Xenopus tropicalis: one gene and its partner. The protein of the gene in region 1 interacts with the protein of each later gene in a pairwise test. Links are inferred from orthologs where the notes say so. Each region holds a gene or a part of one and is shown in the gene's direction. Other genes may lie near its edges.

Region 1 (4,228 bases):
ACACACACACAATTCTAGAAATACAATGTAGTTAGACTGTATCCGTTGACCCTTTCAGTCCTGGCCATACATCAAAGCAGTCATGCCAATGGGAATGGGCGGAGGGATGGTAGTGGCAATGGTAGGACGGACCTACTACTATGAAATCCCAGGAAGGAATGTGTATTTGCAGGAAACTCAAGCTCCCCCCTGGGGGGGACAGGTCACAGTTCTTCCTTCCCTAAGGAAATAAACGTGAAGCTGCCAAGATCACACAGGAGACAAGTGCAGGCACATCAGCGCGGAGCTGCGCATCCAACACTCCCCGGGTACACACGCAAGCTATGCGCGCCCCTCTCATTAACTCTCTGCGCCCCTATACACAGCCCTTATGTACCTTATACACAGCCCTTATATACCTTATACACGGCCCTTATATACCTTATACACGTCCCTTATATACCTTATACAAAGCCCTTATATACCTTATGCACGGCCCTTATATACCTTATACACGGCCCTTATATACCTTATACACGTCCCTTATATACCTTATACACGGCCCTTATATACCTTATGCACGGCCCTTATATACCTTATACACGGCCCTTATATACCTTATGCACGGCCCTTATATACCTTATACACGGCCCTTATATACCTTATACACAGCCCTTACTACTTTCCTGCAATTTTGCATTTATTCAGCCTTATCACAGAGGCGCAAAATGCGTTGCTGCCACTAAGCCGATCTATAATGGTATTGCGCTACAGTTTCTTGAGAATAAAACTCCAGGAGCTAATAAAGAATTCATAGAAATTAAATTACAAACTACAGCCTATTGAGTTTGAAAATGCTATGTGCACTGGATCCCCAAAATCTCAAGGGGCCTCTGGGAAAAAAAAAACAATTAATTAAAAATTAATTCAGGGATGACGAACCTTCGAGTACTATTACTGACTGCCCTTCAAGTTATTGCCCCAGCCTTCCTGCAGACCTTGGGTCCCTTGATTTGTAAGTGCCACCCTGCGCTGTTAGTAAATGACCGAAGTCACGCAAAGTACTGCTGACAGGGCCATTACAGGGCTGTTTGGGGCGAGTTCCAATCTAAAAGCCTACCCATCACCCCATAAGTGGGCACATTTTTCGCCCGGGTGAACAACAGTGACAGCGACCTGACGCACGTGAAATCTCCGCTAAAATCCACCTTGCAGCGATTTCGCTCTGAGCTACCGCAGCCGCCACTGCCCCGCCCCTCCCACTTCTAATCCAATCAGCGCCGCCACGGCAGCTGAAGGTTTGGTGTTTTTTCCCCTACACTATTCCGGAGAGCCAATGAGAAGGCCGCTGTGGAACAAACCCAGCGTTCCAGGAATCCATTCATACAGAGGCAGGAGAGCGCAAGGCGTGGAAGGTTGTTCCCTGTGGAGCTGTGAGTGATCGCTGCGAGGGTGACACCCTCATTCATCACCATTTATTCTCTGCCCATCGCTTCTCATGTGGATTTCCTATCCGTGCTGAGGATTTAAGCGGCGCTCGCACACCGACCCGAGGAATATATGCGTGGGGCCGCGGCTTTCTGTTTAAAGGACTCTTGATAACGTTAGCGTTTTGCGATAAGAAAAGAATCGCTGGAGTTTACTTGTGGCTGAAATAAAGGAGTTATTATAAGGAAAAAGTGTTGTAGTCCTTGTGCCTCCTCCCATCGCATGCAGCAACACGGAGCCTACGGTGCCTGCCTGCTGGATCGCTCCTACCCCTGACAGAGGTGCAATTGCCTTTCCTGCCCACCTTGGCGTTTGTGGATTTATTTGTTTCCAAGGACTACCCTGGCCCTAATTACTGTGGCCCCCGGAGGGAAAGCTGCTACAATCAGATACAGTAGTGCCAGCCCTGGGGATTTACTGGAGACATGTCCCATGCTTAAGCCCCCCAGTTCCGATCGGATTTGCCGCAGCCTGGAGTTGGACGTGTTATTGCTTGGTGCATGCTTGCACAGAGGTAAGTGTCTGTATATCTGGATAATACTCTGCTCCTGGTGCAAGGCCATAAGGCAAGGATCTTTTACTGAAACTCCCAATATGCCAGCAGGCTTGCCCAAGTGAGGGATAGAGTGTATTTGCCCCATGACCCACTATCTTATGTGCCCCTTGGATACAAATATCCAATCGTGTAATATCTTTTCAGAAGGATGCACAACCAACCTGCGGCTGTGCTGAACTGCAGCTCTCAGAATGGCACCTACAACCCACACTTGCAGTTGTTGTTCTACAACAGCTGGAGGGATGCAGTTTTGATACCCCCCAGCTGCTTTACGCCTACATATTGCTGCAGTGTAACATATCAGCAGGCCATGGGTCAGAGTAGGGGCCTGCAGGGTTGAAGTTGCTTCAATTCGAGTTGGGTGTCCCTGGCACAGAAACGTGTAAATAAACTGTTTACGCAGACCTAGAGCTAGGTGCCCCTACTTCTTTCAAACGCAGGATGGGGACACCTAGTGGTAGGTGCAGGTAGTCGGACTAGTGTAGGGTAGGGGCTATTTATGTTAATTCTTTGATTGGTTAAATCGATCCGATGCCACTTTACTGCCAGAAGAGTGAGTGTAGGGGCAGTGAAGAGGCGATAAAACAGATTCGCAGAGAAATCTCTATGTGGGAACGCTGGCACACCTGGTATGGGGTGCTGAAACCCGTAAGGGGTGCCTTGTTCTGGGGCTCCGAGCTGGAGCCGATGGGAAAGGGTGCTGCGGTTGGAATGTGCGGAAAGTCCGCCCCCCTGCGGCAATCAGCGCCTCTCCTCCTCCTCCTTCTCACAGTCACGGTTTGTTTTTCATTCATAACTTTTTCCTTCCTTTCCCGTCTCTCGCTCTCTGATCATTCGGATTCTCTCTCTGTAGCCCTCCCCACCCCAATCCATCTCCATAATTTGCCCATTCCGTCTCTTCCGATTGTCGCACGATTAGTTATCCATTTGGCACACACGGTACAGTTATTTTATAGGCATTTTCTAAGCCTCAGATCGTGCGATTTTCTTTCTTTTCTTCAGTGAGAGCGTTTTAGCTTGCTTGCCTTGTGCAGCTGGAGGTGTGACACCAATGGGCTGTAGGATGTGTTAGTGTGCCAGGGCAGTGTGGGCATGCACCTTTGCACTGCCTGGCTCTGGAGGTTGGGTGCAGCTGGTATCACCCCTCTTTTTAGCATCTGCCACTCATCTGGGCTTGGGAATATATATTCAGCTTTAAAGATCATTTTCTCAGCTTGCCTTAAAAAACTTGTGCCTAGGGAATCACTGGAACAGATAAGTAGGAGGTCAGAACTTGCAGCACAGACTGATTAGTTAGTTAGTTTGTCTCTTATTTCTCTCCTTTCTTCCTTTGTTTTGGTCACCAAGAACTGCCCTTAGGTAAATATTATTTGACAGGGAGGCATCACATTTATTTATTTCTCCATGGCAAAACTCTGGGAGTTAAATTTGCTTTAAACAAGAATAAATTAAGATAGAGCCCCTTTATCAGAATTATACGCTGAAAGACTGAAGCCCTTTTAGTATGGTGAATTTCTTTTAAAGTTATTACTGGGGTAAAAGTCTTCTCTTTTGGAAATATATCATTTCCAGTCATAGGATAGGTTATCATTACCAAGTAATCACTTTGTTCAGATGTATAGTAGCTAAACGAGAAATCCATTCTGTGACTTCTTGAAGTGCTACGGTATCTGGAGGCTTTGTGTTTTTCTTGAACCAGTTGCATCATGCAGAAGCAGAATGACTTTCATACATGGCAAAACATGATTTATTAAATTGTAATGGGAGTATATTAGATATGGGGGGGAAATGCAGTGATCTGCCTTGCTTGTAGTTTATCTTGTAACTGTCATCTGACATTTTTTGCTGTGATGATTTGAATTTGTATCTTATATTATCTCCAAAACTCCGTTCTAAATTATTTATCTTTTGTTGTGTGTTTTGATCGGCAGGTTTTCAGATGCATGCCAAGTTCACGTTGAATGCCAGAAATCAAGATCACTACAGATGGAGCTACAAAGTCAACATGGCATTGGTGGTTCATTAGTTGTGATACAGCAGCCATCTTTGGACAGCCGGCAACGGTTGGAATATGAACGAGAAGTTCAGCCAGCGGCTATCTTGTCCTTGGATCAGATCAAAGCTCTTCGGAGCAGGAATGAGTACACAGAAGGCCCATCCATGGTAAAAAAGCCTGGACCTAAAACTGTACCAAGGCACATTAAG
Region 2 (2,689 bases), on another chromosome or scaffold:
TTGACATAGATAGGAAATGGAAAGAGGATGTTTTCTTTCCAGTGGAAAACATGATCCCCAAAATAAGTCAAACTGTACTCTTTGAACTGCTCAAAACAATGAAAGCAGCAGACATTTGTGCAGAATTGCTGTTGGCACTTCCAGTTGGCATTTGGGCTGAAGGGGCCACCTCACTACTTCAGCATATTTGTGAAGAGACTTCAGTAGAGGATGTTGATTTTTTTTTAGATGTCTGGTGGGAGGTAATGAAAAGCAAGAGTGATGAGCAAAATGAAACTCTTGTGTTATTTTCCTCTGTGGTTTCCCAGTACTTACCAAAGTCTAGTGATGAACCATCACAGAGCGCCAAAAGATTTAAGTCAGATCCTGAACAGACTTTAAATCAAGCCGATAATATCCTTGCTGTTTTTCTAGAGGGGCTTCATAAAATGAAACAGTGTGTTGCTACCAACAAGCTGAGGTGCTTTACTATTGCAAATCTAGCTGAAATGTTATGCTCCTCAGCCTTTCTCGAAAAGGAGTCTGAGCTTCTGCCCATAAAATCATATTTAGAACAATTTGCAGTAGTGCTTTCCTTCTGTGAAAAAGGATCCAGAGATGTTGATATGATTAGAGTAGCAGAAAGGATGGTGCAGAGCGGAAGCACATCTTCAAGATTCCGCTTACTACGAGGTGCTCAGCATTTTGGTTTAAGCCTTCTCAAAGACCTTCTTTTTCAGTGGGGGGAGGAGTTAATTCATTATTTGAATAACAACAAAGTAGTTGGCTATGTATGTTACAGGATGAGACACAGCCTTGCATCTTTGCATAAAATCTTGAGAACGTTAGAAGATTCTGGTACCTACCCTGAAGAACAAAGAGGGGATGTACTGGAATTGGCACACTGCATTACAAGCTTTCAAGAGAAAACCACCCAAGTTCAACATGGATGTCCTTCTAATGCTAATGAAATGATGGCTTTTATTGCCATGAAAATTATTGAGAATAAAATGGACCGTTTCAAAGAAGTTTGTTCTGTCTTCGCCTCAGAAGTATCCTGGGCCTTCTCAAATGACTGGTTAAATTGTCTTGAGAAAAACAAAGCACATTTTCAGGACCCTGCAATGGTATTAAAATTGCTGGATCTCATAGTAACAGTTACTGCTTTACAAAGTAATGTGGATATTGGATCAGTACGAAAAGGCGCTGATGTCACATTAAGCATTTTTTCAGAACTTTCACTGTCTGAGAAGAATGAAGTGCTGAAAGAAGTTTTATCCTTATGGGGCAGAAAAGGGCTTTCTCCATCTATCAAAGCATTTACTGACAGTTTCCAAGATGAACTTAATATAACATTCAACCAAATTTCCCAAAGCCTTTCTGATTACAGTGCTGCTCAGGCCGTTTCAAAGGTGTCTAAACTGGCTTTGCTGAACCCGCAAGCAGTAGTAAAGAAAGCCTGTCATTTTGCAGTGGTAAATGTTGGTGCTCATACATTTTTAGCCAAGATATTGAGCTCCCTTCCAGCTTTATGCTTTAAGTGTCCTAATAATTCAGAAAAAACAGTCTCTCTGTTGTGTGAGTGCCTGATGGAAACCTGTTGGGGTAAGTTGTCTTCTGATAAGGAAGAGAGGCAGTTTTTAGCCTTACTAGCCTTTCTGATGGAATCTTCAGAAGTAAATGATAAGGATTCTTCTATCCAACTTCTCCAGCCAGCTGAAGTCATACAAACATTTGTTCTCCCGTACATTTTTGACGAATATGCTAATGTTGCGTTATGCTTGCACATACTTCATAAGGCTTTTAATGTTCAGAATCCTGAGGATGAATCTGGAAAACATTGGGTTTTATCCTGTTCCCCGTTTCCACTTATTATGTCATTATGTAAGCTTCTTAATTCCTACACAAAATGCTGGCAACTTTCTGAGAATTCACATTGCCTTACACTGGGCTCCAAAGAGTTAATCATTGACATTCTTACACTGATCATTAATGCAGTCATGCCCGAGGCTGGAAACAACTCTGAAACGTGGAACAAGTCACTCTTCTGGTTGCATAAAAAAATGGAAAACTTGGATTGGGTTGTATGTTTGAGGCTAAAACCAATATTTGGAAAACACTTTAAAAACGAAGTCCCATCTTCATTATTTGACGTTGGCAAACTGTCTGAGAGGGAATGGGTTCCTCTTCAGCTACCCGAGTATGGACCAGGCACAGGTCTTATGGCATGGCTGGAATGTTGCTGCATATCTGCAGAAATGAAAAACCAAATGCTTTCTCTTCTCTCTGTCAACAGCAAAGACCCTGAGGAGGTCAACCTTTTTAGTAAAGGTTTTCTGGTGGCAATGATCCAAGTTCTACCATGGTGTAGCTCAACAGAATGCAAGCTTGTTGCTGAGGTAGTGAGACATCTCCTTAAAAGACGACTCCTTCATGTACCCTACACTCTAGAATATGTACAGCATATGCCACTTTTGAATCTGCGACCATTTGCTTATAATCTCCAGTTCTCTGTTCTTCTTCTCAGAGGCTTTCAGCTTCTATGTAGTTCTAGTTGTTCTGATTGGCTACCTTTTGAAGGGCACAAACACATTGCAAGGCTTTATACTAACTGCATATTTGATATATTAGAGGCTGTCAAGCAGCAGATATCAGGAAATAAAAATGAGACCCAGACAGAAAGGAAAGAACAGGACTATGTTCAGGAGGC

Evidence for each region. The genes of interacting proteins can lie anywhere in the genome.
Region 2: the proteins of spry1 (region 1) and gemin4 interact in binary tests that used the Homo sapiens proteins (3 or more experiments, as listed by UniProt). The link is inferred for Xenopus tropicalis from reciprocal best matches to the Homo sapiens genes SPRY1 and GEMIN4.

What each region holds. Positions count from the first base shown.
Region 1 is NC_030677.2:65,663,592-65,667,819, reverse strand, and holds the start of spry1 (protein sprouty homolog 1), read left to right. Parts: upstream 1-1,425; 5' UTR 1,426-1,967; coding exon of another isoform or gene 1,968-1,981; intron 1,982-2,001; exon of another isoform or gene 2,002-2,962; intron 2,963-3,954; coding exon of another isoform or gene 3,955-4,009; coding exon 4,010-4,228. UniProt on the Homo sapiens protein: Inhibits fibroblast growth factor (FGF)-induced retinal lens fiber differentiation, probably by inhibiting FGF-mediated phosphorylation of ERK1/2. Inhibits TGFB-induced epithelial-to-mesenchymal transition in lens epithelial cells.
Region 2 is NC_030678.2:96,481,052-96,483,740, forward strand, and holds part of gemin4 (gem-associated protein 4), read left to right. Parts: coding exon 1-2,689. UniProt on the Homo sapiens protein: The SMN complex catalyzes the assembly of small nuclear ribonucleoproteins (snRNPs), the building blocks of the spliceosome, and thereby plays an important role in the splicing of cellular pre-mRNAs.